Linked DNA regions of Drosophila melanogaster. The gene in region 2 interacts genetically with the main gene of each other region. Each region holds a gene or a part of one and is shown on either strand. Other genes may lie near its edges.

Region 1 (9,825 bases), on a different chromosome or scaffold from region 2:
CACCACCACCACCGCCACACCCGCAACAAGCTCCGCCACCATCAATGTATCCACCCGACCCGTCCGGATATCCAGGCGGCTATCCACCGCAGGGGGCTCCCGGACAGAATCCAGTTAACAACCCAAATGCGATCCCCAATCAGCCTCAGGCACAGCAGCCTGCCAGCGGCCCGGGATCAGGGCCTGCCCCGAACTATCCTCCAGGCGGCTCGAGCGTTATTAATCATTCCCTTAAGGTCAACAAGGAATACAACGAGGACGGTCACCACCAATCTTCAACGTAGTCGCAGTCGAGATACAATGTTACATGAAACTTTAAACGTCGGATTGGGCCTCAAGTTTCAAGTCGGCCTTCAATACAATGTAGCAAAGTCGAATTAAAGATTTAAACAGTACTTGGAATTTTCACAATTTTCACAGTCTTTGATTAAATAAAAGAAAGAAATGTTCTCTTACCATTGTAAATAAAGACATTACTGAAAAGGTAAAACGAGATATTTTAGTATCACATATATTTCATAATATAAAAGGTACTTGAATATGTTTTATACACAAATGTACAAAATCATGTATGTACATATTAGGCAGTCTACTTTTCCACTATTGTGCTGTGGTTATACAAGTGCACGTGGTAGACGTAGCTGTTCATGCATTTCTGGATACTGAGCACTAGTGGGTCAAAGGGATGCCAAATAAAGGCGCACAATTCCCGTGGCGCCAAAGGATTTAAATGCCGGCGGGCCGTAGCGTGCAGTCTAAACTTGATTGAATCCGTGGCACGGTCAAGAAACACAATAGGATCGTTGCAGCAGCGATGGGGTTGCTCCAGAGGAGACACGTACCGACTGTCGTATCTAAATTCGTTGAACTTTAGATAGGGCGACGAGGAAAGGCTCTGGGAGCTGAGTGGAACGCTGGGGTTGAAGCGCAAGGCCGTATGTCGATCGACGGAGACCGATTCATTGGAATCCGCAAAGGTATGCCTTAGGAAAAAATGCATGGGCAATGAAGGTGCATCACCGAATTGCAGCGATCGATCATTGCTCATGTAGTCATTGAATTGCAGTAAGATTTGCAGCAGGTTGACGGAATATTCCGGATAAACGCCAACCACTTCTTCGCCAGTTATGGTGTAGAATACATACAAGCGGCGCGGTGATGTAGCCATGGGCATGGTATCGGTACCATTTGGCCGCTCTTCATAGCGCAACATTAGAAGTTCATTGTTCACCAGATGCATTCTCTCCATGATCATGTGTTCTATCTAAATGAGATATGTAAGGATGTGAAGACCGTTGTCACTCTTTATAATGTTACTTACATACTCAAAGTTTTTATAAAACGACTTCTGACTTTCCGTCGGGTTGCCACTTTTATCATTAATTTTACGGTACAGAAAGCTAAGGACGCGCTGTTTAATGTGCGTTATGGGCAAAACTGTGGTGGCGTCAAGATTGTCAAAGTCTGTGGTAGCCTTCTCGATAAAGTCCCTCGGCCTGGGACCAATAGTCTCCTGCTGGTGGAACTTACCGTCATTCACCCAATAGACGTAAACGCACTGATGCAGCCGGGACATCATCATCACTGTTGAGCCAAACACGGAAATTCCATGATTGTGGGCAATGACGATGGAGTCGTTAGGCAGGATAAGTCTATCTGTGACGACGCCTAGCTTCAAATCCACCAGAAAGAACACATACGAGAAGGCGTCCACTTTGTCGAACAGATCTGGGTACCGTACGTAGTCATCGACCGGCAGTGCGCCGCGCACAACGGTCATGGCAGCCAGCATGGCATAACGACCCTCTTCCAGGAACACACTGAACTCCCGGTGCAGATAGTAGAGGCCAAAGTCGCCTTGGCATAGATTCAGCGTCTCTTTTGTGGGAAACAGGCGTTCAAAGATCCTGCTCTTGAGTATGGTGTCCTGGCTACTGAAGCACTCGCCACTGCCTACATCCGCCTGGCGAATCAGTTCACCCACCGCCGCACAACTAGAACCCCCGTAGCTGTATATGAGCAGACTGCGCTGATCCTGCGAGAAGGCCAACAGTTTTCTGCCATCCGGCGTAAACTTGCGCAGGTAGATCGGCGGAATGGTAATCGAGTCAATTGTCAGGCAAGGCGTGATGCACTTGTAGAAGAGACGCTCGTAGGCCAACAGCGGCATCCTGCCCGGCTGTTGGCCCACGTTGGTGTATCCGGACTCGCGGTTCTGCAGCAGATGCACGAGGTTCTGCGATTGTAGGCGCTTCTTGTAGGCCATTCTGACAGATCCTGGGAAAGTTCTGCCAAGTTCCTATTCCTAATGTCAGCCGGGTTCTTCTTCCGATCGGAAGGTAACTAAAGTAAAGTGTGACCGCAGTTAGATTACAAAAATTTACTCTGTCTACAAAAGTTTTGTTGTTAAAAAATATAAGTATAATAATAATAATATTAATGCTTTTCAAGATTCAAATAAAAAACGTTATTTATAAATAAAATAATTCAATACATCTTACTTTACTTTGTTTAAAAAAATGTGTAAATGAATTATCTATGAAAAGCAAATTTAGATTTATTTATTTTTTTTTTTAAATAAAATTATTCTTGAGTGCTTTTAAATGCTCTAAGTATATTATGTATTTCTGAACCATTAGCCTCTTTGATTACGACACCGTTTCATAAACATTTGATGTATAACATTACATATATTTTTTTAATTTTTATCATTAAATATCGTCAACTTTTAATTCCAAACTTGGTTTTACATCACCTCATCTTTAGCTTACACAAATCCCGCGCAAACGTTCTAACGGTTTTCAAAAAACAATGTATTTTTCGAAAATTTTCGGAATTTTAAATTACTATTTCACTTTATTCAGAGTCGAAATGTTCGCAGACATATAAATATACACATCTGTTAGGGATTACGTTGCCCATTCCAGTGACTGCCAAGCGGAGACTATAGTAAGCTTAGACATTGTAGCCTACAATGTGACGCTTGCCGATGCACTCGCCGATGTAGAACCAGAAGATGACCTCGGCGGTCACCAGGGTGTTAAGCCAGGCCTCGCGAACCGTGAGGTTCTTGTAGGCGCCGGTCTTGGCTCCCTTGATGATGTTGCCCAGTCCTTGGCGAATGGCCGGAATATCGGCGGGCGTCGGGGGCGTCAGTTCCACCTTGGCGTACTTCAGGAACACGTCCAGTTGGGGCCTCGCCTGTGTGAGGAGCCCTGCAAAAAGTGATCATTACATAATTTTGCGATTGACAGGCGCCAATGGTGGTGTATCCATTCGATTGCATTCGATTCACGACACTCACTGTTCACAAGTCCTGATCCCTTGGTAGCCAAACTCGCCATCTTTTCAATTTGGTTCTGCAAGCAGTTGGAATTATACAAGAGGAAATCAACGAAATGTGCGGAAAACTTACCTATTCAGTGTGCGACGAAACAGAGATGTTATGCATTGGGGCCAGGGCTGGAGCACTAGTTATCGATCGGCGGATAAATACCAAAAATACCAAATATACATTTCTAAAGTTAATGGAAGAAACTGCAAACAGTAATTTTAAATAACGTTAATAAAATAGCTTATTATGGATAATATAGAGTTAAAATAAAATAAAATAAATTGAATATATATTTATATTTAAAATATTTCATTCTATACAGTAAATAAACAATATGAAATGAGTTACTGAAAATTCCCTTGCAAAATTTATTTAAATATAGTAATTAAAATACATATTACATTTAATATAAAAATAACTTTTTCCCCACCGCATCGTGCAGTATATTTGTCTGATTTTCCGAAATGATGAATCCCTGCAGTATTTTCGAACCACAAAGCTTCGGTCACACTGCAAAGGTGTGGAAATCTTAGTTTCCACAAAACGAGCAAATATTTGCAGTTTTCAAGCCCCAAATTGGCTAATTAGAGTTCGCATCGGATCGAATTTGCCACCGAACCCCCGAAACGGAAGTGGCTGCTTAATGTTTGTTGTGGTGCCAGCCGCCAAACGAAAAGTGTGACGGGCGGTGAGTGTACGATATGCTGTAAAGTGAGGTGGACTGTGTAAAACTAAGCTGCGCCGTTCAAAACCAAAATCAAAATCGCAGCAGCCACTACGATTAGAAAGTGTGAGAGATACCTTTGTGTGTGCATTGTTGCGATTTAGTGCGAATGTTTCAGTGCGAAAATCTGAAAGAGTCAGCCGTTCCGTCCCACACATATGTATGTACATTTACTTGGGTGCTGCTGCTGCTGCGGTTCATGCGTGTGTGTGAGTGCGTGACGGTCTAATTTGCGTTGGTGGGAGGCCGCCGACGATATACGTATATGCACGTATGGAATAGGTGCCCACGTAAAGGCCCCAGGTCGTAGCACCCAGAAACTGCCACCGAAAAGGGGGGCATTATCGACTAATCTCGCCGGGACTGCAAGGTGCATCTTGCGGGGGTGACTTGGGCGTTACGCCCTTATCACCTCGCTGTGGGTATCGTTTCGTGGGGTGTGGTCCAGACGTCGAGTTCGTCAGTCGCGCATATCACAAAACAATTCAAATGGCATTTTGGTGATTGTAATGAACACGTCTCATGGATACATGGATAAGCGTCTCGTGAAATCTTCTGCAATACCATTCTGAGTCTTGTTCATAGACGGTTTAGTATAGTGATGACAAAATTTCTTTTAAACCAATTTTGATAGTATCCAATTAACTTTTTAAACGTCTACTTTTACGGGAAAATTTATAAACAAAGTTAAACGACAATTTGGGAAGTACAATTTTATCGGAATGAAATGTCTTCAATTGATAATCAGCATAAAAAGAAATCTTTTTATTATTGATCCCAATTTGGCATGAGATTATGTAGTAAATCAGTAAATAAAGGGTTTTATATTTAATTAATTTTAAATGCATTAATTCGTATTAAAACAATTTATTACTTATTAATGCCGTTTTCAGTCGATGAGGACGCACTAATTTACGGGTTTGCCAATTTGGAGATAATTGTCAATCGCGCCCGACCATGCCGCTGCCCAAACGATCCATAGAACCCGTGCATGTGGCCCGCTCCGTGTATCAGCAGGATGAGCTGCAATCCGTGGAGCTGGAGACGGTCACCAACACCACGCTGACGAACATCATTCGCCAGCTGTCCTCGCTGTCCAAGCACGCAGAGGATGTGTTCGGTGAACTGGCCCGCGACGTGGGCAACATCGGGGATCGAGCTAACTCCCTGCAGGCGCGCATCGATCGCCTAGCTATCAAAGTTACCCAGCTGGACAGCACAGTTGAGGAGGTGCCCTTGACGGACATTACCCGAAAGAAGGCCTTCAAGTCGGCCAAGGTTTTTGATCAACAGATCTTCTCGCGCGCCACCATGCCGGCACCAATGATGGACACATATGCCCAGTGCGACAAACCGCCGCCCCTCGACAAGCTTAATGTCTATCGAGACGATGGCAAGGATGGTCTTAAGTTCTACACGGATCCGAACTACTTCTTTGAGTTGTGGCGACAGGAGATGCTGAAGGATACCGAACGTGTGATGCACGACAAGGGCAAGAAGCTGAACAGACCGCGGCAGGATGGCGGTGCCGGCGGAGCTGCTGGACGTGGCAATAAGAAACAGAAGACCAAAATAAGGGTGCCGCACAATACGCGCGAACAGCAGCGACAACGTGCACTGGTGCACGGCGAAACATTGATGCCCAACAACGTCATCTACCGCACACCGAATTCCATGGTCAACGAAGAAGCCGGATACGGAAGTAAGTACTTGGCGAAAGGGATTGGTCTCCGTGTGAGCCAAGTATTCAGTGCGAACCAAATTCATAGGCTGTTATTGGTACGTTCGTTTCGCGCACTGACTATTTGCACTTGTCTTGCCTATTGAATGGTACATCTATTTTAATTATCAATTATGTCCTGTCTGCCCGTGTAGTTCAGCTAGTCAAAATACAGACTGTGGGCGAGGCTGACATCGATTTGCGGCATAGCACTCTCGATGCGCACCACCAAGTTGTCGGTAATATCCAAGACGTAGGTACGATGATGGGGCCACGTAGCTTTCATTTCCGCCCGGCAGACATCCCACGATACAGATGTACCCGCCATTCATTCACCTACTTCACTCAAAAGCTCGCTAGTTTTCGATGCGCCTCAAAACCCAGTTCGAAGATCACTAATTTGTATTATTTTGAAGTTGCTATTAATTGAAATTAACCCACACAATCATGACCCAGAGAAAGGTGACCGAAACAAAGTTTCCAGAGCTTAAAAAATAAATGAAATGGTACTTAACATAAATTCCATCTAAAGTTTGATTAAAATCTCAGATACAGGATATATTCGATCTAATTCATTATTATTACACCATTAGCAAAATGGTCTATGGCCAGTCTAGTTCATCCTCCTGTAAGTTAGCAAGACTTTCGAACTTGATTTGTCTCTAATTTGAATTCACTGACTTTGTTCCAATGAAGTTCGTCTTGTTGATGGTAAATACAATACGGTCAGAGAACCTTACAATTTCATTCTCCGAATGGTCGATTATTTTTCGCAGCTTTTATTTATTTGCATGTTGTTTTTATGAACTACTCTTTCGTTGTTTTCGGTTATGATATTAATGAACGTGAACATAAATATGCATTGCAATTACGAATGGATCAATCGCGCATAACCATCTCATTTACAGATACAGTAAAGCCTTATAATATGCTTTCGCATTTGGAGAATAACAGTAATGTCACCAAGCAAACCGCCGTTGCGATTGCAGGTTAGACATCCACATCCACTTTTAGCAAGCTCAGTAAAGACTATATATGTTCTTTCACTCGCTTCTATCCCCATATTACCTTACTAGCAATCCTTTTTGAGTTCCTTTAGCATTTGTGTGTACAGAGAACACTCTCTTTTTCAAACTATCAATCGGAATGGCGATGATTTATGAGTTTCATTGGTCATGCAAAGTGCAGATTTATTATCTCAAAACACTGTAAACTAGTCACCTTCTAACTTGCAATTTTAATGTAATGTGTGTGCACATTATATTTACAATGCATCTTGCATTTTGCATAATACTTTAATTCATTTCATACTCGCGATTCGTGATTGAGCCGCAGTTTTTGTTTAGGATCCTCCTATCTTTCTGTTGTAGTTCAGTCAATTTCCATATCTACGTCTACATGTCACTCTGCAGCTTTACTAATTCCTTTCTGTCGCCACATCTTATTCTACGAAAGTATCTCTAAATTGTTTTCTGTGCAACGAGCTAACAAAGACTTTTAATCGGATGTTTGTATATTCAACAAAATTTCTATTCGAGTCCAGCGGTCTCATATGCACAGAAATTTGGAATTGCTTGTAATTACATATGTGTCTTATTGTTCCTCGGCTGTAATTACAAAATAATTGGCGTGTTTTTAAATGAGATGTGTGTCCTGTAAAAACGTTCATTTTAATGGGTGGTTAGTCAACGGCTCTAATATCTCACATTCATTATTCTAGATATGGGAGTGTACGATACACGTCCGCCACGTCCTAACTCGATCGAATTGAACCGAAGCTATCAGTCGGAGCAGATCGATGGTAGCACCTACGAGCAGCTTCCACCGCAGATGGGTAATCAGTATGCTGCCACCTTCGGCAACGGCATGGGTGGCCCCCAGCAGATGCACATGCAGCATCAGCAGATGTATGACGCCGGAATGTATCAGTCGCATGCGCTGTACGGCCAAACTGGACAGGGAGTGATGTCGCCGGAGCCCATCTACGGACCGGGAACACCGTCGCGTAACAAACCGCGTCCGTCGCAGCCGCCACCGGCTCCGCCATCGAATGGCAGCGGTGGTGGTACGCCCACAGCCTCCAATGCCAACACTCCGACAAGGGGCAGAAGTATGTCGACCAGTCGGGATGCCTTGCCACCGCCTCCACCAGTTCCAGACGTCATTTCACCAATGTCTGGCATGAACGGAGTCAACAGCGGGCATATGGCGGCCAAACTGCTTGGCCGGGCGAACAGTTCGTCGGGAGCTGGATCTCCCAACAGCGTCCAGAATGCCAATGATATGGTCATGACGCAACTGAGCAATACTTTCCACAGCATCGGTATGACGGGCAATCAACTGAACTCCCTTAGCGACTTGCCGCCACCGCCGCCGGTTCCAGATCAGGTTTGTTGTTCACTGATGGGTGTTAATATATCACAATTTGGTTTAATTTGTGGCAAAACCTTACAGCACTCGCCTAAGATGTCGCCACCTAATGCCGCGCCACCACCGCCGCCGCCACCGCCTCCAGTCGAGGAAGGCATGGGCAGTGGCAACCAACACACGCTGCGCCCGCATCAAATTCTTCCCAAATCACTGGCCAATGGCGAAATGCAGCAGCCCGGCCAACAAAATGGTGTGCCTCACATTGTCGCACCCAAGAAGATGCTGCCTCCATTCCATGACCCACGCAACGACTTGATGAAGGCCATTCGAGATGGTAAGTAATTGCCATTCAAGGTTCGAATGCAAAAATATCATCAAATTAATCTTTCCAGGTATTACTCTACGTAAAGTTGAAAAGTCAGAGCAAAAGGAAATTGAACGAAACGCGGCGCCATTGGATGTGGCTTCAATCTTGGCCAGACGTGTGGCTATCGAATTATCCGAGTCCGAGGATTCGGATAGCGAAGACGACAGCGAGGGCTGGATGGAACCGAACGAAACATCGGCTTGATCCCTGATTAACTCGTTAAAGCCTGACATAATTCTAAAAAACAAAAAGAAGAAGTAATTCCAAAGAGAATTAATCCATACGATGGTCGAAACCAAGCGTGGTATGAAATTGGATTACACAAAAGCACCAAAGCTTTTCTACCACCCTTTATACAATATACACCTAATCCTAAATAATATGTCTAAAATCAAAAGTTTCATTGAATTGTATATACACCAACGAGTAATTATCGTTAAATTAATCGCTATAGTGAACGAACGCATTTGCATTTTAAGCCTAGACGACAATCCAAGGAAAGCGATTTAAAAGACTTGCTAATTTTGTTCGCTTCTTTGGAGTCAAGGTCTGAGTAGATATGGGCTTCTGTATCATAGTAGTCGGTGTTTGGATATTAAATTATAAATAATCGATATTATCACTGAACTCAATCCTACCCCAACTTGCAATCGATACGATTAATATAAAACATTTATCCAAAATGAAAATTTAGAATTTTGTAAATACAAACACATTAAAATATATCGAACTCCGTAGCATTTCAGTATACTCAACAAGCTATGAAATTGTATTATCCTTGTGAAAGTTAAATACCTGTATAATTAATAAAATATGTTTCACGAATATAAGCAGCCATGAATGTGTGGTTAAGTAAGCAAACATGGATGTATGTAATTTTTCTTTACATAAACTAAAATATACAATAAAAAATAAAGTAATTATATTCCAAATTAATGAACATGTCTTGATAGATAACTTTAAATGTTTGTTTGGGAATTTCCTCTGGTCTTATGCTTAAATACCAGAATCTTAATCCTCAATTTTGCTTTTGTTTGAAAAAAGAGCAGTAATGCATTTCAAATACAAAATATTTAGTCATAAATGCTGAAGTGCTTAGCAAAAGTAAGAAAGTATTGAAAAAGTATAAATGTCTGGGCTAGTTTCATATATGGCCTCTTAGTAAGGATTAATACTCCATTCTAAATTATATCCAATTATAGATAATAAAACTTCTTTTCGAGCGCGTTTTGCGGAATAGAGTGCAAGTTCGTACCCACGAGGGTAGCTAGCTTCTTAGCGTACTGGCAAACTGCTGGCACTCGTGTGGT
Region 2 (6,711 bases):
CACCTGCTGCAGCCCACGCAGCAGCCACTGCCACGCCTCCAGAATGCCGCCCGCCTGATGCGCCAACATTTGCGTGGAACGAACGCTCCCCAACCGCCCGCGATACCGCCCACAAATGCCAGCCGCCTGCTGCAGACGACACGCCTGCTTGTGTGGGGCGGTGGTAGTTTAGCTATCGGTCTGGGCGCCCGTTCCTGGTGGGCGGGGCATCGCGGAGCGATCGTTCATTGCGAAGGCAGCCGGCTGGCCATTCGAAAGGAGGAGGAGGAGGAGGACACTGCGTCGGAGCAGCACTTCGACTGGAAGCGTTTGTGGACCTACTTGGAGCCACATCTCTGGGAGCTGATCGGGGCCGTATGCGTGAGTTCTTGGATCACAAAAAGCCCACGAACAGGTGTAGCATTTGTCAAAATATTTAGCTAATTTCATTTGCAGGCCGCCCTGATAGTGGCTTATATCAACATACGCATCCCAAATCTTCTCGGTGACCTGGTAAACACACTGGCCAGATATGCCAACACGTACGTGATGGATCCGATTAACAACTCGTTCGTAAAGGACGTGAGCAAACCGGCCAGCAATCTGCTGAGCCTATACATGCTGCAATCTGGTTTCACCTTTATGTACATCTACCTGTTGAGCCGCGTCGGTGAGCAGATGGCAGCCAAGATGCGGCAGGATCTGTTCACGCAGATTGTCGTCCAGGACATCGCATTCTTCGATGAGAATCGAACGGGCGAGCTGGTCAATCGACTAACCGCCGATGTACAGGACTTCAAGACCTCGTTCAAGCAGTTCGTCTCCCAGGGACTGCGAAGTGCTGCCCAGCTGATTGGCGGCAGTATATCGCTCTTCATGATTTCACCGCACATGGCCGCCATTGCGCTGGCCAGCGTTCCGTGCGTGGTTATGTTCATGACGTATTTGGGCAAGAAACTGCGCTCTCTAAGCAAAAGCTCACAGGCGCAGGCGGAACGAGCGACGGGTGTCTGCGAGGAGGCGCTGTCCAACATCCGAACGGTTAGATCCAGTGCCTGTGAATACCGCGAGATGCAGCTGTTCGAGGCGGAGACCAATGAGGCGGCTCGCCTGGCGCAGAAACTCGGCTACGGCATCGCAATCTTCCAGGGCCTGACCAACTTCTTCCTCAATACACTAGTCCTATCTACGCTCTTTATGGGCGGCCACCTCATGTCTACGGAGAGTCTGTCGCCGGGTGCTCTGATGGCCTTCCTGGTCGCTTCGCAGGGTGTGCAGCGATCCCTTGCCCAGGGATCCATCCTGCTGGGCACCATGATCAGAGGCATGTCGGCCGGCAGTCGAGTCTTCGAGTTCCTATCGCTGCAGCCACAGGTGGAATTGCTGCGCGGCTACATCATCCCGCAGGAGCGGCTGCACGGCGAGATTCGATTCGAGAACGTCTCATTCGCATATCCCATGCAACCCGATCATGTGAGTTGTATTAAAGTATATCTTCATTTCATTCTCGAGACAATGATGGCATATTTACATTAATCGATGCTCTGTAATTTGTAAACTCGCCACTTTTTTATATAATATTGAATAACTTCTTATCGCTTCCGCAAGTAGATAACCATTTTATAATACCCACAAACATTTATGGCCAATATTTACGGCTAAGTGATAAAAAGATTAGAGTCTAGGCAATGCAAACAGTAATGAACTTCCTATGTCAATTTTTGCTTCATTCACAGCTGGTGCTCAAGGACTTTAGCCTGACGCTCCGCCCGGGCCAGACGGTGGCCCTGGTGGGAGCCAGTGGATCGGGCAAGTCGACGATAGCGTCGCTGGTGGAACGCTTCTACGAACCATCGGCGGGCAATATCAAACTGGACGGCTACAAGCTGTCGGACATATCGCCCTATTGGCTGCGGTCCAATGTCCTCGGTTTCATCGAACAGCAGCCGGTGCTGTTTGGCACATCGATATTGGAGAACATCCGATATGGTAAACCAGATGCGGGCGAGGAGGATGTGTATGCGGCAGCGCGTCTATCACAATCGCACGACTTTGTGACCGCCCTGCCCGATGGATATGCGACGCATGTGGGCGAACGGGGCACCCAGTTGAGCGGCGGTCAGCGGCAACGCATCGCCATTGCACGGGCGCTGCTCAAGAATCCGCGCATCCTCATCCTCGACGAGGCGACGAGTGCCTTGGACGCCACCAGCGAGGCGGAAGTGCAGAAGGCACTCGATACAGTGGTCCAGAATCGCACCACTCTGGTGATTGCCCATCGCTTGTCCACGATACGAAACGCTGACCTCATTGTCGTCCTTGATCAGGGACGCGTCGTGGAGGTGAGTTGTCCTAGACCATTGGTATCTTCAGAAATATTTATATTTTCCCTTGTTTTAGACCGGCAAACATGACGAACTGATGGGCAAGCGGGGCCTGTACTTTGAGCTGGTGCGTCAGCAGGAACGACGGGACATCCAGGAGCAAGTCCAGGCGGTGGAGGACGTTGTGGCCGTCAAGGAGCAGCAGGCAACTGCAACAGAAACTTCAACAGCCGCAACAATTGCAACTGCCGCAGAAACTTCCGCAGCAACAGTGACAGTGGGGAGCAGCAGCTTCGGTGGCAGGGCAAACGCAGCGCAAGGATAGTGACGATGTTAGGCAAATTGAATGATTCCCTATACACTTAATTTAATATTCTTATAATGTTTTCACTTTTTTTTTTGTTTTCAACTGACCAAAAACAAAAATGGTGAGAGACGCTAACAATAAGTATACAATAAAATAAACGCTGAAGACAGTATTGTTTTTGTTATAAACAGAAAGTATTTCATTGTCATTATCGCTAAATTCACCGGGTTCATTAAAAATAGATGGGATGCGTGAACTTAAATTAAAGTTTGAAAAACTGAATATAAAACACTTGAAATCCCAATTTCCGTTAAATAATATATTCAATGGGACCGCATTATTTCTACAACCATACTCATATACGGTCACTCGAAGATTAAAGAAAAACTATTTCAATATTCAATTCTGTTCAATATTTCTTGTTAGTGACAAGCAGCGTGTTTATAATAAAAAATTTGTTCATTAAAGAGTTTATATATTTTTTAAGTTGATTGGCAGCTAGACGATAGTTTTGAGATTCTTTAATGACAGTCCTACGGTCACACTGGCTGAATTGTATTTTATTTTGTGTAGTTTTGTTGTTGTTTTGTTTATTATGCATTTCTTTTTTATTGTTTGAGTTAGCGAGCTGTGCGTCGCGTCGGCATTTAAACAAAATCCGCGGCATTTCGGTAGTTGCGATTAATAATTGCTTGGCGGGAATTACAGTCGAATAAGAAATTGGCGAGGAAAAACCAACAAATGTGCAATGTGCGTCAAGTCAATAGCAATACAAACGAACAATTATGTAAGTGTGTGTGTGTGTTTGGTTTAGTTTAGTGTACAAGTCCAGCAAAAAACAATAAAATCTAAGTAAAAAACCAGTTGTTGTTGCTATTGGCTTTGCTAATGTCGTGTTGTTCCCGTTCCCCCACACACATTTTCTAACAGCGCGTGCATGTGTGTGTGTGTGTGTGTGTGTGCAGCACCTGTACGCGTGTGTGTGTGTGCTTCTGCCTCCGCACAGTGGACACATTCCTGAATTTTGGAGTCCAAAAATATGCAAATTGCCTGAGTGAATTAATTGACTTAATTAACAAAAATTGGACCGCAAGTTATGATAACCATAGTTGATTAAACGGAATTAGTTTCTAGCGGGACTAGTGCGACAAATACTCAAACTTACTTGATTTTTTACCATTCGTTCCATTCGTAAACCTAGCTTGTCTTGGCTATTTTATAGACTTCAGTCAGGGTGGCACACCCACTCATTTCCAATCTCTTCAAAGCAAAATCACAGCACTGTGATATGGTTGGTTAAAGTAAAAGTTCAATGGGTTAAGCAGGTGATTAAAGGCACATTAACCCCTAATGGAGCTTGGACTGCACTTAACGCACGGCTCACATGTGACCACTGTGCGCGCGTGCAAGTGTGTGCGTGTGCATTCGTCATTCATTGGTCATGTTTATGCGGTCGGAAGAGGGACGTGCACAACAACTACAGTTAGCTCAGCTGAAGTGCAATTGCGATTGCAGTTGATCCAAAGAGTCGCGTTTGTTGTTGCATCAACCGGAGTTTTCACGGTCAATGTTGAGCTATATCCATAAATACACAAACATTCATGTGTATTTGCATATACATATGTATGTCCATATGCATATATCCATGGATTATGCATGCAAATCGATGATGGAAATCAGGCGGTATAGCGAATTCCGATGGGGGGCAGCTGACTCAGGATCGAAGTCTTTATCACTGAACCCTAAACTAATGACTACCGGACTCAATTATTTTGTTTTGTTCGGTCATTTTGTTTAGTACGCAAAAATATTTACATGGCTATCGCTTTAGCAATAAAGTTCGAATTGCTGTCCCAGTATATCATAAAAAATCACGGAGAGTTTTGAATGCAATTGGTTTTGAAAAATGCCAAACCTTCCTATCATTAACACTTAAATCAGTTAGAAAAACTAATATAATACTATATTAGTTGATAATAAATGCATTTCATGTATGATATCATTGTAGATATCTTTTTTCTCAACGTTAATGATAATGGGTAAAGATAGCTTATTTATAGACCTACATTGCCTATATGATATTTGCTTAGTTTCCACTGGTTCATATCGACCTGTTGACGATAATTGGCCAAGTTCCGTGACTGCTGGTCTATATTTACTATATTTAATACCTATTCCGTCATCGACTAATACCTTTTTTTTAACCTCCCGCCCCCCTGCTCTTTACCCACAGTGCTAACGTGATCGGGCCAAGGCACAAAAACATTCCATGCATCATCAGCAGCGCCTGCGGGCAAATGGCGGACGAGGAGGCACTGGATTGGGCGCAGGATCAGGACCTGTGTCCGGAGGACACTCACCATTGTGCGCCCATTGTCGGGGTCAACTACTGCCACATCCAGAGGAGCCAATCGTGATGGCTCTCGGCCAGCAATGGCACTGCGATTGCTTTCGCTGCTCCGTTTGCGAGGGCCATCTGCATAACTGGTACTTCGAACGGGAGGGCTTACTGTACTGTCGTGAGGATTACTACGGCCGATTCGGCGATGCCTGTCAGCAGTGTATGGCCGTTATCACCGGACCCGTAATGGTCGCCGGCGAGCACAAATTCCATCCGGAGTGCTTCTGCTGCACGGCATGCGGCTCCTTCATCGGCGAGGGCGAATCGTACGCCCTTGTCGAGCGTTCGAAGCTCTATTGTGGCCAGTGCTATGGCAAACGTTCCTGCCAGCCGGCGGATGCGAAGGCGCGGATCACAACGGCCGGCAAGCCGATGCACTCCATCCGTCTGGTCGAGATACCCAAGGACGCCACGCCCGGCCTGAGGGTCGACGGAGTGGCCCTCGACGATGGTTGTCCCACGGTCCGCATTACAGAGTAAGAAATTAACTGAAATTACTATAATTTACATCAATGAACTCATTGAGATGCATGCATTTGCATTATTTATTAACTTTATTGTTACATTTGTTTCTTGTTGTTTTTTTTAAGATCTTTTTCAAAGATCAGATTGTACTCTTTTTTGAACTTCTAAGTTGCCTTTGCGTTTAATGTACATATGTTATACAAACCAAGCCGTCTTCTCACTTTTTACACACAAGTCACAACATTTTTTTTATATGAATTTAAAGAAGAATGTCTTTTTGGTTACATTTTGTACTGAAAAAAATTTTACCATGGCTCAAATCTACGAAGTACGTATTGTGAAATGATAACTATTATTTGATTGTATATAATTTATTGCTTCAATCTGACTCACTTTTGGTTGCCATTTGTTAAAGTTTGCACATTAGCTAACTAGGTCTAGTCCTAATTGCCAACTAATTTCGCTGGGCGTTCGTCCTTCGACTCTTTCTGCATTTCCCTAATACATGCTTGCCCAAAAAAAAAAAATAGCTTGTTCTGTAACTTCTTCTTGTGGCTAACCTCGATGGCGGAACAGTGCTGTGGGGCGCCTTATAGGTAACAAATGTGCCTGAGTTGAATTAAAAGCAACAACTAAGCTAGTAGTAACACTTTGCTAATTATTGATTTATTTCCTATTATCCAGAATTGATGTGAATCTTACAAATCTGCATATTGGAGATAGGATATTGGAGGTGAACGGCACACCAGTTAGTGATTCGTCCGTGGAACAGATCGACAAATTGATACGGAGTAATGAGAAGATGCTTCAGCTGACCGTGGAGCATGATCCGGTGCAAGTGTGCCGCTCCTGCAGCCAAGCGGACATCCAGCGGGCCATGTCAGCGTCCACGTTAATCCTGCCGCTCAGCACATCGGCCTCCAGTGTCGAGGTGGGCAGGGAGCGTCTGTACAAGACACCCGGCGAACAGGGCACGAAGGCCAGGAAACTGCGACAAGCCACCAATGCCTCTACGACAATACCACCGGCAGCTGGAGCCACCGCAATGACGCAACTAAAGGAGAAGGAGCGTTGTTCCAGTCTGTCCAAGTTGCTGGATGAACAGCATCAGGCACAACAGCATTCGGCGCATCCTCAGCTCTATGATCTGTCCAGGACGCAATCCTGCCGTGTCGTCCAAAAGCCACAACGAATCTTTCGTGCAACTGATCTGGTTATAGGAGAGAAGCTAGGCG
Region 3 (6,697 bases), on a different chromosome or scaffold from region 2:
TTCCATTTGCCGCAGGACCTCGCCCCATCATCCCTCGACCTTTCTTCGTGGAAACCTTCATTTGCAGCTCACCCGGCCTGCTATCCATCCATCCAGCCAGCCAGGAACTAACCAACCACCACGGCCCACAAGGATATGAAAAGCAATGCACTTGACACTTTGCCGGCCACTTCAGCTGGGCCAAAAAGTGTGCTTCACTTGATGTCCTGTCGGCGTTTCATTAGATGCTTCTGATGGCAAAAAACTGCCCCAAGAGATTCTTTGGCTGCTGTAATTCCTTGTTTTTTTTTTTTTGGGGGGGAGCATGCCTCAAAGCAAAAATGTACAGCGCGTATTTCAATTTGCAAATGATGGGAAATGCCTGTGGCACGGAAAATTGGGAAGGGCGAATAGCTTATGTGGGCCAGTAGGGGTGTAAGTACACACACTTTCAACTCGGCACCATGGCAACAATTTTAATTCAATTCCATTAAAAGTCGCTAAGATTGAACATACATTCGCAGCTGGTGTGTGTTTTTGTTGTTTCCTTCTGGGTTTTGCTTTTCTCTTCTCTTGCAACCTGTCCCTCACTTGGGCACACAATCAAACTAATGTTTGGCGGTAGGGAAAACTAATGAAGCGAGCAGTGAAAACGCGACGATTGATTGCTCCCCCGAGGCAACGAGGAAAACAAGAGCGAAGAGCGAAGGGCGGGGGAAAATGGGAAAGCCAGATGCAATCCAGCAGGAACTGCTCTCAAAAGCCCTCGATTTTGGGAATCATCTGCAGTGCACTGCCTCCAAACTGCAATTCCGTGACTCGTTCTTCTCTTTTTTTGATAATTTATACTCGAGGACTCGGCCGTTGGGGGTGACATTTGTTCATCGCCTTTGCGGGTGGGTTTTTCCGAAAATGGTCCTTCGAGGGGTAAGCCAACACCTCCCCTGGGGTGTTTGAAGATGCATAATAAGACTTGTTAAGTTGCTCGCTCGTTAAGATAAGTGAGCCGGCAAATGGCGACAAGTGCGACTACGGAAACAGCCCGCAATGATTACCGGCTTAAGATATGCGAAATTATCCATATAGATAAGATGCTGCGTGGGGTTCCTTCCAATGGTTAATGCGGCGATTCACATTACGGTAAGAGGATTATGTAGGAAATGTATGAAACCTAGCCACATGCACTGCAATATTGAGAGGGTCATAAGAGCTTCACCAAAATAAGCCATTTGCTGGTGAGCCCCACCGAGCTGAACATTATTGTGGCACTTTTCGGGCTGCATCTTAGCATTAAAACCCAGATTTGCATAGGTAATAATAAAGTTCCCTTTTGTCAGGACAAGCCATCAAAGCTAACAAAGATAAATGATTTGTATTTTTTGGGAAAAGGTTTTCTTTCTTCTTGAAAGTCTTCGAAAAATGTCTGGATAAAAATTGAATTTTACTTTGTAAGCTGAAGCACAAAAGTTCTGTTTAAAATAAGAAGTGGTTTAGGTTTTCGGTTTTTTTCTCCATTAACCTAACAGATGCTTCTATTAAGCTTCTTCTTTTTGTATGTCATGGTGATATTTTATATATTTATATCATTAAATATTCACAGACTTACCTCCATATATCCCTGAACACTGTCGCACTGCTGAAGCACCAAAATGGCCGGATTCGCACGCATTTCTTCGGGGGAGCAGGGCGATAGGAAACCACTATCCGCATCGCTGTGGGTTGATAGAGGTCGTGGTTTGCGTATCTTGTACTGGACATGTCGACTAGGCACTGGGCCCGGGTTGAAGAGCACATAGTTGGACTCCGTTGGAACCGTGTGCGAACGCTGATCCTTTCGCTGTTGCTGCAACAACTGTTGCAGGTGCAACATGTGATCCGTGCTGACCAGCTCGGAAATGGCACGTTGCTGCTCAGAAGTATTTTTGTCGATAGACTTTTTGCCACTGCGAAAGGGCGAAAGATTCAGAAATGTCAGCTTTTTCTTCATCGATTGCTGGGCGGGATTGGCCAGGGAACAGCTGCCCGCGGAACTTGCTGAGTTCGTTGAGGTGGATGATTCTACGAGGGCCGTGGATGTGGTCTCCGTATCTTTGGACTCCTGGCTGTTCGACATGCTGGCAGTGTTCTCCAGTTCGTTGAAGAGCTTCTCCAGGTTCTGTTGCTCCAACTTGGCATTCACCAGCTGCTCGTTGGTATAGGGATTAGGTATGCCGATGTCCATGGGAAAGTTCGCTGGGTCTATAATAAAGTAGTTGTGGTGATCAAAACTAGACATGGTCTCTGAATTTTTGGCAGTCGGTTCTGCTTCTGATTCCGCTTCTGGCATAGCTGAAGTCTCTATGATAATAGTCTCCTCCAACTCGAGCTCCTCGTTATCGTATATTACTTCTGGCACCAGTTCATCTTCATCCTCGCAGACCAAGTGCTGTCTTGAGCTGAAAAGGGGATCCCTCAATCCGTGGGCTTGAGTACTGGGATATCTCATGGCTTTCTCGTTGATAAAGTCCACGGGATCAAAGAGACAGTAGTTCTCCATGTGCGAGGTGGCAGCCTTGCGCTGTCTCACTGGTAGATTCCTTAGCTTTTCGGAGTAATCCGCCACATCTTCATTATTATTGGCTGATTCTGGAGCTGGAGGAGGCGGGGATATCTCCTGACTGATGGGCCTTTCCTCCTGCTGCTGCAGCGACTTCTGTGAGCCCCTATGAAGGGTGGCAAACAGGCCACGAGCTATGCAGTTCTTCAGCTCACTCACACGTCCTTTGTAGGGACTCGACTGGGCACTGCTGCTCAGGATCGAGGATTCGTCGATTCCCAGCTGCTTGCTGAGCTCCTTGCGCTCCTTCTTGCTGAGCACCACCTTGCCACGACTGGGCGTATTGGGGGCCGAGTGGAGCAGCCTCGATGGCATTTGGGAGAGGGGCGGTGGTGTGGGAGGCAGCGGATCCCTGTACGGTGGTGGACCCACCAAACAGGTGGCATAGCTAACTGGTAAGTCCGGATAGGCCGTACTCTGCGCCGATGCCGTGGGATCCGTGGCAAGGAACTCCAGTTCCATGTAGTTGGGATGTGGCAACATCTTCGGTTGATTCTGATGATGATTGTCCGTTCTTTGGCTCTTGGGCTTGGCGCCCAGTTGGTTCTCCTCATTCGCATTGCGATCGGGCTTGGTTGAGGAACCCGGACGCAGTTTTCCTGCCTGACTGGACATTTCTAGGGTTTCACTGCAGCTTCCATGGGCTCAGCACTTTTCACTCACACACTCACTCACAAATTTTGTATACATTTTTTCGCCGCTTGGGCCAAATTAATGGCTTTATAAATCTTCATCTTTATGGAGGGCAAAAACGCGTTAATGGGTTTTCTAGTCTTTCGACCAAAAAAAATAAGGTCCTTTTTCCATGTCCTCTCTCTCTCTCTCTCTACTATCTCTGTTTACATTTGTGTTTGTAATTGGATTTTTTAGCTGATGCATGTCAAAGTTAAATTAAAACTGACCCAGCTGGTCGGGGGAAAAAAAAGAGTTATACGTTTCTAGGTTGTTTTTGCGGGCAAAGAGTCATAGTCATGGTCATGGTTACGCCGTGGTTTCGTCTGCTTTTGAAGTGTTCCAGAATGCCGCCGAAACAATGCCAAAGTCGAGCTTTTTATAATTTGTCTACAAAGCAATTAACAGGAAGCCAACGCTGCAGGGATTGCGATAAATGGTGAACAATAATACAATTAAAGTACTGCACATGCGGTTTTAACTTGAATTTGTGCATTGAAGCCGCAGAGGTGGATACATATATATTTGCAACTTAAATGCTTTAAATTGAAAAAACCGAAAAGCATTCACATACATTTTTCTTCAGCTTCCGGCAAACAGCACAGGTATTATTTTGTTCGTGCAATTTTCGAATAAAAGCGATTGTGCGATAGAAGCTGGAAGGGAAATTCAATACGAAAATGCATATCAAGTGCTCGCTAGAGTTTCACATTTGATTAAGTTTCATTTCTCCTTCAGTTTCCCCCCGGTCGCAAAAATGCAGACATAACGGAGATATCAATAACAAATTGACAGCAAATGGATCCATGAATTTATTAAGTGGAAAGCGAAGTGAACAAAGGAATGGTTCATCACTCACGTACAGGTATCTTTTCCATTACACTTGCTGAGATTCGTAGAGTAAATGTGAGTAATCCAAATAGATATAACAAATAATGAACAATGCCAAAGAACAGCATGTTCGCCAAATCGAGATTATCCCAGCATTGTTTCCACTCGGAAAACCAGCAATGAACTTTTAATTTCCTTTATTTCAGCCCACTCACAAAACAAAACTATGACGAACATTTTTCGCCAGGCCAACGTGGCAACAACTGAGAGGAAACCGAAATGGAAAAAGTTTTATTGGCAACAAATTGAAAACCGCCTGGCCATTTGAGTCAGTGAACCAACAAGTTGCATAATTGTTGGCGCATGATAGAATTAAACGCCTCGCAATGAGCCGATGTTCCAATGGCTCCTCTTCTTCTTCCTCTTCATCCTGCTACTTCCGTTTCCGGAAATGGCAGGCTGCAGGTGGCAGAGGCGAAAGAAGTTACTCCAGTTAAGTGGAGTTTCTCTGCCGGTGTCTGTGCCTGCGTCCCATAAAGTATACTGAAAGTAATTTGCAATTAAAATGTTAATTTTTAATTGAATTGCAGATGGCAGTAGGCAATGGCAGTAGTCTCGAATACTGAATCAAGTTAATTAGTGTCAAAGTAGGCAGCTGAAAAGGGGAGGGCTGTTGGGCAGCACTCAAGCCCAAGGTTGATTTATCCAGATTAGCAAAGTATGCTAATGAAATGGTGATAAATGCAAATAATATAAAATTCCAGTTTGACTTACTTCCCAGATTAAATGCAATTGGTAATCCATCTTCTAGGAACAACACAGTTTTTCTTTACATCACCATTACGATTGTAGTTAAAGAAGCAGAAATGTTAAAATCTATTCTACAAATGTGCTCTAATCAGTTGAATCTATACTTTTATAACTGGGCAGTACACGTATTAAATGTTTAACTCCTATAAGGCCACACAATCCTTGTCTGCGTCCATTCCCCTGGGCTTAAAATCCCCCTGAAAGCCACGTGGATAGTGGCTCTCTACTCCAGCATCACCTAATCCCTGACACTTTCAGTTTCCATGACGATTCCGTGAAATGGGGACGAAATGGGGGCAAAAAGGAAAAAAATGAAAGGACCCCGAAGAGAAAGGCAGAAGGCAGGACTTAAAGTTAAACACTTTTGCTTTGAGGTTGAAGTTGCTCGCACTTCATCTGCCTTTGCTTCCAGCTGGCAGCAGTCAAAGTTGACAAAATACTTGTCAAGATTTGCGCATTGAGTTGAGTCCTCCTCTTCCAACTTGTAATTGCAGTTTTGCCGTGGTCTCTTTCAGCTCTGCAGCTCTGAAAAAAAGAACAGATTTCCACCCACTGGGAAAACCCGACGTTTTGCCGGAGGCCATCAAGCCGCAAACTTTACGAGTTGATAGCTGAAATAAAGTGGAGCATGCATTCCGTGCCTTTTAGCCCGCCCACCCACTTCATGACATCATTTTATTTGCACTCAATCTGAGTTCTTTTAGCGCCGCTTTCTGCGCCCAACACGCTGTGCAAACTTCGCTGGCAAGTTGGTTAGAAATGCTTTTGATTTGCTAGTGAGTTGACCAGAATCCCAGCCCCTCGACTCGCTTTCCACACAAAAGCCCACTTTTGAAAAGTGCACGCTTTTCTTTCCATCCTTCAGTTGCTCTTATTGCACCAAAAAGCCCAACCAGAACCCAAAACGTTATTCAAACAAAGAAGAGAAGTATAAGTATGCTGAGGTTTGCCAGAAAAAACTCATAAGTACGCCTTTTGTGTGACTTCTAGATACTCTATCCACTAGATTTCATTTGAAAATTGCATCAAAACAAATATATTTGGCGAAAATTCTAACAAACATTGAGAGAATTTTAAAGGGTAGGTATAAATTCATATAATTCAGTAAATTCTTGGCCAAACTCCATATGGAAATTTTAAATTACAGGGCATAAATAAAGTGCAAAGGCCGTACCGAAAAAAGTAAAAAGGGAATAAAAAGAGCCAACTACAATGCGTATGACAGTTTGAAACACTTCTAAGGACTTTTGAGTTGCGCCGCAAGTTGGGGCGTGGTAGGCGTGGCAAAGGACCACAAAAACAACGCACAACTTCCGCTCCAGCTTGAGGGCACAAAAAAATATGTATAAAACTAAATCAGAATCTATGTGCAATTCAATTAAAGCGCAATTTGCAGGCAGTCATCATATTTTCGTTACTTAACGAGCCAGTTGGTGGATAATGAAGAGCGCGAAGGGTGTGGGGCAATTTAATAAGACCCATCGGGTGGGGCAAAACGGAAATCGCTTGAGGAAATTGTGTGTTTCAAGCAAAAGCATACATAATAAACTCATATAAAAGATTGTTGCACACTTCGGGGAGCAACTGGAAGCGGAAAGCAGGAGCGGAGGTATAAATACCCGTATTTGCAATCCGAAGAAGTGGAAGTGGATGGAAAGAGTCGGAAGAGGGATTCTGGAGACAGGCGAATGTATCCCTAGGCGGACAACGGCGAACACGAGGAAAAGCGGAAAAGCAGCGGGGACCGCGTCGAATGTTATTAAAAAAAGGAAAGCAGAGCAACGCTAAAACAGCAAACCCCCCCTGCCG
Region 4 (6,815 bases), 6.6 Mb from region 2:
CTCCTCGGCGGAGGATGAAGGATCGCGCGCTGGTACGCTCTTTGGCTGCTGCCACGGCCCCTCGTCGTAGTGGTGCACCTGCCGCCTCAGGGAGGTCATCCACTGGCAGATGCTCTCGTTGAGATACAATGATGAGGATCCTGATGTGCTTTCGTCCTGCAGCAGGCGAATGCGAGAGACGCGCGGCCTCTTGCGCTCTCTCTTGTGGCTCTGGCTCTCTTCGGGCTCTCTTACGCGGCCGTAGATGTGCTGATCGCTTTGGCTGCCCTTCAGTTGCTGCTGCTCTAGCTTGAGTTCGCAAATGCGCTGGAGGTCAAAGGTCTCCTGGGTGCGGAACACCTCGTCCACGTTGTGGATGATCTCCAGGGAGCCAGCGCTGCTACTGCCAGTCGTGGGTGTCCTCGGGAATATCCTGCGCTGCAGCGACGACGAACGGTTCAGCTGCTTAAGAGAGCCAAAGAGACGGGTCAAGGTCGCCGCACTGGACTTGGAGTAGCCCAAGAGCGACCGCGACTTGACCTTGGTGGGTGGTGTGGGCGGTGTGGTTGGTGTGGACGGTGCGGGCGCTTTGGCTGGCGTCTCTGACCTTTGACACCGGCACCGCTCGTTGTCGCTATAAATGCCGCGGCACAAATCGCAGATGTTCTCATAGATGTTGCTGCTCTCGCCGGAAATCGTCGAAAGGGGCGGTGGCGGTGGGGGAGGCGGTGTACTCACCACGCCCCCGCTCACGATGCACTGGCAGAAATGGCAGTAGCGTCCTTGGGCGGCAAACACGCCGTAGCCGCAACCCCGACAAAGATTCTCGTAGATCGCCTCGCGCGGAAAATACTTGCGCAGCTCCGCATTCAGGTGACCTTTGGGGGTGGAGGTCAGGCCCGGCAGATTCTCGTAGATGTGCGCCTCCATGCCGACGTTATCGTTAATGTCCTTCGCCTGCTGTGGCATCTCTCTTCTTTATTTCTTCTTCTGCCTCCCTACTTTCTCTTATCGCCGCTGCGTCACATCGTAATTCATTATTAAGTGAGAAAATAATCGCCGAGCGGGGCAATTGGAGAGATAGTAAGTGAGAGCACTGTCATCGAGAGAATTTCGTGCACCGCAAAAGAAATGTCGCGAAGGTATTTAATTAACATAAATTCGATTTGGAAATGCTCGAATGGCTCTTCTTAAATTTCTCACTCGAGTGAATTGAATAACTTGTAATCTTCGATTACTCACTATTATTTTTTGAGAAACACCCCAAAAACGACCTTAGTTCTCGCAGTGTAATCACTGAGAAAAGTCAATGGGCTTGAACTCTTTAAGTGATGCCACTACCCTCATTTTCTTTCTTTCTGTCTCTTTCCCTCCCGCTTCCGACTGCAATCAGCGATATTCATTATCTCAGCCAAAGTCGCTGCACTCTGCACTCAGTTTTCCTCCAAACCATCGGCTTTGCCTTCAAAACACAATTCTTTGGCTTGACTTTTTTTAAATCTGGGAATTTAAAGGATGAATTTTTCGAATCTAATTGCAAACAGCTTTTAATAATATGACCCTGTTATCGTGAATTTCTTTACCATTTCTTCTAATATTTACATATATTAGCTATTTTGATAAAATATTATTGGAACCCATTGCTGTATTCAATATATGTGTAACTAGACCCAATATCTCTGTATATTTCACGCCCAAAAAGATCCAGAGCACTTATCACTAATCAGTTTAGAGCTCTAAAATGAATTGTTTGTTTGCCCTAAAACATTTGATGCTTAAATGCAAATAATGTTTAAAGTAAAAAAAACCCCAATGCATTTCATCTGACTAGAATTCCACAGTGCTGCTTCTGCTTTTGAGCTTTGTTTTTCGTTGATATACGGAGATGAGTCACTAACCGATCCACCAAACCATGTCGGTCCTCTCGTAACCCCCGTCCTTATCCCTCGGACTCAAAATGATGGCCATGACTGGGTGAAGAGAGCGGAGAGGGGCGAGAAACCCCAGAGAAAACCCCGGAGAAACAGAAACAGGTTGGCGGCCAGTCGAGAATTGTGTAACGATCGTCGACTTCCTCACCTACGCCTCACAGGTGCCGCCAGGTAGATGGAATGTGGAACATGGTGTGTGGAATATGGAATGTGCTCAGTTCACACTGGCAAAAAATAGTAGCCACTGATTTTGGGAATTTAAAATATTACAAGAATTCTACAATTCCTTCTTACTGAAAAACCAAAACGGAAATATGCAAAATTTCATTTTACATATATTAATATATGTATATTCTATCTTTTTTTTTCAAGTGCACAGTTATCCCGAACGGAAGGCGAGAGTGAGCCTAATGGAGTTAAGGTGCCAAGAAACGAGGGTCCGTGCATTAATCTTTCGATCGGCGTAAGTGGGGAAATCATGTTTATCTCGATGGTAGATCTTGAAATCTTCTTCGGGGGCTTCGTATTATTCGTAATTCTTTGATCTAGGATCGCCGCCATTAATCATAATCGGCTTGGGGCGGAAAGGGGAAACCGGTTAGGGGTTTTAGGTGCTTAAAACATGTTTCGCATTCTCCAACACCACCAATTGTTGTTACAGCGTCATTTAAATAAAACTGATTCAAATCCAGTCGAGAGTAGCCTACCACCATATTTCAAAATACAACAGATTTGGATCGTTAGGTACCACAAATGTTGGTTGGTTGGTAGGTAAAAGCGTTTTCACGGTGTTGTTAATCATACTTTGGTCTAGAATCAGGGTCAATGGTCAATGGTTGTCTTGTTTGCTTGGACAATAACCTGTATTATTAATTTTCAATTCTTTATAATCATGTTTGGGTTGTCCTTTAAAAGATAATTTTACAGAACATTCTATAAGATATTCATTTCTCTGATAAAAAACACACAAATTATACAGAAACCGAATTTATTTAAATAGAAAATCTTGATTAATTACTTGCGTGATATATTAACAATCCGAGAAATAATTTAACAAAGAGCCATACACTTAATTGTTCCAAACTATTTGAATTTTAATAGCAAACAAAAGGCTTGTGGAATTCTTCATAACTGATTGACTGTGTTTTCACTAATATAATTGTTGTGGTCTCATTAGGAGCATTTCTCTGAACTAATTAGCTTTCTACAAAATAAACAATTCTTAAATTGAATCCCTAGGGTCTGAAGGTTCTGAAGCATAGTTATTAATAAATAAGTGAATAAACTATTTAGAAGCCTGACATCACTGGGCTTGTTGTTCATTTTGGAAATTTTGAAAGTATATATTTCAAATCCTTCATGACTTAAGAAATGCTTGCGATTCACTTTAAAGTGTTAAAATTTCATTAATAAAATGTTTTTATGTACTGATACGAATCACCAAAATGCAGCAATAGCATAGAAAAAATATATTGATACCGAATTCATATACTTTTTTAAAAATTTTCATTCAGAAAATCCGTTTCGTTATAAATAGCTATAAAAATAGCTGTAGCACAACCAATTGAATATTATATTTTTTAATATGATTATGATATATATTTTGTTGAACCCAATTAACTAAGTTTAACTTCAAACACTGGCAAAATACACAGTTTATAGTTTGATTCCTCAAATACAAAAAAAACAAAACCGCAAAACTTTGGTTTTTCGGGCGCCTTGGTGATAAACTTGCATACTTTTGGGCATTCGATCGAGACCTTCTTGACCCCGTCAATAAAACCTGTCCAAATTGTGCAGCCCCCAAGGAGACAGCAATGCAATCAGTGTGGATTGTGGGTAATCCGCTGATTTGCCTATGCCGATGATTCATCGCCGTTCATTTTCAGATGGCGCGACAAATGAATAAATGACGATGAATGCCATTGTAAAAGCAATATACTGTAATTCACAAGAAACACATGAGCACACACACCCATATTATGGGCGAAAGGAAGGAACAAATAAAACGGGATTGGTCCCGTTATCTCGCAGCGCTTATCTCACTTTCTCTCCAATTTCCCCAAATGCACTGTTTTATTATTAAAACTATTGTAGATCGATCGAGGCACTTGGTGGGCTTCAATACCGAAACCCGAGCACCAAAACAAAAAGCACCGATTTTGGCCAGCACTGATAAGCCGAGCTTTAAATGGGAGCATTACGAAATTGGGCTTGAGGTGGGGCTCTCCATCAAATCGGGAGCTGCAGGCGCGACGCGTTCGCGAATTTAACAGAATATCAACTGAAATTGAACTCAAGATGCCGCCGAGAATTTTCTTGGGTGGCGGTCCGCCTCGTAAGCGATTGACGTCGCAGTCGCCGCGCAGTCGCAGTCGCAGTCGCAGTCGACGCCACGAGTCGGTGGCGGTGGCTATGGCTATGGCGATGCCGACCTCCGGTCACCCAGGGAACTCGAGCACTCCACACTAGTCAGCAAAAGTGGGCACTAACCCCCAAAGCCCGCAACAAAATTTTGTTGCTTCCGATGAAAAAGCAAGTTGGGAATTATAAGCGGGTAATTTCAAATATTTCAGATATTCAAATGAAATATAATACATATATTACAGGATATATCAGTATTTTTAAAAACTATAAATGCTAACTATATATGCCAGCCTTACAAAATTATATCATCAATAAGTTTCTTTAGAATAAAACTTTTTAAATTAATATAAGATTCAATAGAAATTCTTGCCTTGTCTAATACATTTCTTACAGTTATTTACTTTTATAGGCAAAGTCTATGGATCATTATTATGACCATGACTATGGACCATTATGAGCTGTGATTCATCATCGGTGAAACTATGACTCATGTCAACCGAGCTTGAAACTATCCTTCGTACCCATGTCATGCTGACCAGTGTGGGCCAGAGATCAGTGATGGGGAGGCAAAAGCCCAGAACAGAACAGAACAGCGCAGAGCAGAACAAACCTAAAACTGAACTGAAACCGAACCACATGTGTGTAATGGAACATGGGCAACATGTGTGGCTCTGTCTGGCTGTGCGCCACCACATTCACGAATGTGCGTGTGTGTGTAAGGGTTGGGGGTGGCATGGGCTAATGAGGGGGTGAGAGGGTAAGGGTGGGGCGTGGCAGCGACAAAAGACGCTTTTTATACTCAACGCCCGTTGCCTAATTAAGCATATCGAGTGCGGTCCCTGAAGGAGGGTGGTAAAGGGGGGGGGGGTGCTGTCGAGGGTTGGGAGTTTGTTTTTCAGTTCGGCTGAGTTGGGAGTAGGGGGTGCAAAAAAAGGGGGGGGCTGGGGTCGGTTCTGGGACCGCAGAGGGGGCGGTGCTGGGCGGGTGGATCGAGCTGTGTAAGTAACCATGATGAATGCTAAACACTGTTCAATTTATGCACAACAGTTGCGTAAACCGATTACGATATGCATATACATATGTACATACATACTTTTGCTCAACACTTTATTGCAAGCAATTCCGATATGAAAATGAGAACTGCACTTTCAGCACGAACCGTAAGCTCTCTTATTTCTTATTGAATTTTGAAACCAATCCTCATAATCCTGTTCCTCATAATACTGCTCGCAATCATGTTTTGAAGATCCATATAGTACACGACCGATATTTACAAAAATCGGAATCCATATAAAACAGAACCGGGAGCAAATAGAGAAAGAAAAGATGAGGATGCATCTTTGGGGAAAAAACAACAATTCCGGGGAAGAGACTTAAAAAATAGGCGAATGAGAGTGAGACTGAGAATGAAAATAAAAATAAAAATGAAAATGAAAATAAAAATGAAAATGAGCAGAGGCCGGCGAAGAATCGCATTGCAGCCGATGTTCAGCAATATGGTCGCTTGATCTTTGAACTAAATTAATTAAGCACAATGAACACAATTGTTGTTGTTGGCTTCGCTGCCGACGGCATCAAATGTATCCACCAGATACGAATACAAATACAAATACAGATGCGGATACAAAACAACAAATACGCACACATACCGAAATAAAGAAATGCATTCAGGCTGTGACCAACATTGCATTCAACTGTTTGCTATCGGCTACCCTACATACATACATATGTACTTTTATGTATGTATGTGTATATGCAGGAATATACCAATAAATCATAGGGTTTTCTAGGGTTGACTAAGTGTGGGATTTACACTATAGATTTAATATCTATCTTAAAGCACGCCACCACATATGAGTTTTAAGTGCATAAATTGAAACCCAAATATATTTAATATATATTTATTCGGCTAATAAATTATGAATTATATCTCGGAGTAGGGCATTTAACATTCGCAGTGCTTGGTAAATTAATTCCTGAAGAACATATTTCTCATGTTTTCGCTTTCAGTTTCCATCTTTTTTTTTTTTTTTTGCCCCGACTCATATTTGGTTTGGCTTTTCTGCGGGTTCCTCGGCCGCCTTCTTTTCCCGAAAAAAAAAAACAAACGAAGAATTAAAAGGGGTGGCCCACGGCTCATGGCCCGTGGATGATGGTTGATGGCTGATGGCCCTGTCCAAGTCCCGTCCATGTCCCAACCAAATCCACAGCCCCGTCCCCACTCACATCCACATCCACATCCCTGTCCAGAACCAGACTCGCGTCTTTGGCAGCATTATGTTTCCGTCGGTAATGAGTTGGCAGCGACTGCAACTCAGTGTTGTCGAGATCCGACAGTAAAAACCCGATGGATTCGAGTAACAAGTGCATTTCAATATTTCAATGTGTATATAATAAGCCTCAATATGCAGTTATGATAAGCGGAGAGATTCTATACAATTTTATCTAATCTTAAATGTGTAGTATATCCTAAATGTATAATAATATCTAATAGTGTGCATAAATAAAGTGTATTTTAATAATAATTTTAATTTTTAA

The links.
Region 1: of LIMK1 (region 2) and SCAR, changing one enhances a phenotype caused by changing the other (phenotypic enhancement), as found in Drosophila melanogaster (one study listed by BioGRID).
Region 3: of LIMK1 (region 2) and sick, changing one suppresses a phenotype caused by changing the other (phenotypic suppression), as found in Drosophila melanogaster (one study listed by BioGRID).
Region 4: of LIMK1 (region 2) and RhoGAP18B, changing one suppresses a phenotype caused by changing the other (phenotypic suppression), as found in Drosophila melanogaster (one study listed by BioGRID).

Annotation. Positions count from the first base shown.
Region 1 is NT_033779.5:10,972,947-10,982,771, forward strand, and holds SCAR (SCAR), read left to right. Parts: upstream 1-3,825; 5' UTR 3,826-4,124; intron 4,125-4,951; 5' UTR 4,952-5,015; coding exon 5,016-5,760; intron 5,761-5,933; coding exon 5,934-6,035; intron 6,036-6,686; coding exon 6,687-6,767; intron 6,768-7,498; coding exon 7,499-8,166; intron 8,167-8,232; coding exon 8,233-8,482; intron 8,483-8,540; coding exon 8,541-8,719; coding exon of another isoform or gene 8,720-8,776; 3' UTR 8,777-9,449; downstream 9,450-9,825. Other genes in the region: CG16743 (uncharacterized protein), read left to right, coding at 1-284; abo (abnormal oocyte), read right to left, coding at 590-1,264, 1,322-2,266; ATPsynG (ATP synthase, subunit G), read right to left, coding at 2,956-3,215, 3,305-3,344; piwi (P-element induced wimpy testis), read right to left, coding at 9,712-9,825.
Region 2 is NC_004354.4:12,588,617-12,595,327, reverse strand, and holds the start of LIMK1 (LIM domain kinase 1), read left to right. Parts: upstream 1-3,134; 5' UTR 3,135-3,397; intron 3,398-4,843; 5' UTR 4,844-4,879; coding exon 4,880-5,487; intron 5,488-5,644; exon of another isoform or gene 5,645-5,745; coding exon of another isoform or gene 5,746-5,804; intron 5,805-5,979; exon of another isoform or gene 5,980-6,006; coding exon 6,007-6,072; intron 6,073-6,160; coding exon 6,161-6,711. Other genes in the region: CG1824 (uncharacterized protein), read left to right, coding at 1-360, 436-1,452, 1,716-2,321, 2,380-2,628. UniProt on the Drosophila melanogaster protein: Protein kinase which regulates actin filament dynamics. Phosphorylates and inactivates the actin binding/depolymerizing factor tsr/cofilin, thereby stabilizing the actin cytoskeleton.
Region 3 is NT_033779.5:19,823,767-19,830,463, reverse strand, and holds the start of sick (sickie), read right to left. Parts: upstream 3,991-6,697; 5' UTR 3,191-3,990; coding exon 1,586-3,190; intron 1-1,585.
Region 4 is NC_004354.4:19,154,006-19,160,820, forward strand, and holds the start of RhoGAP18B (Rho GTPase activating protein at 18B), read right to left. Parts: upstream 4,197-6,815; 5' UTR 4,115-4,196; intron 997-4,114; 5' UTR 949-996; coding exon 1-948.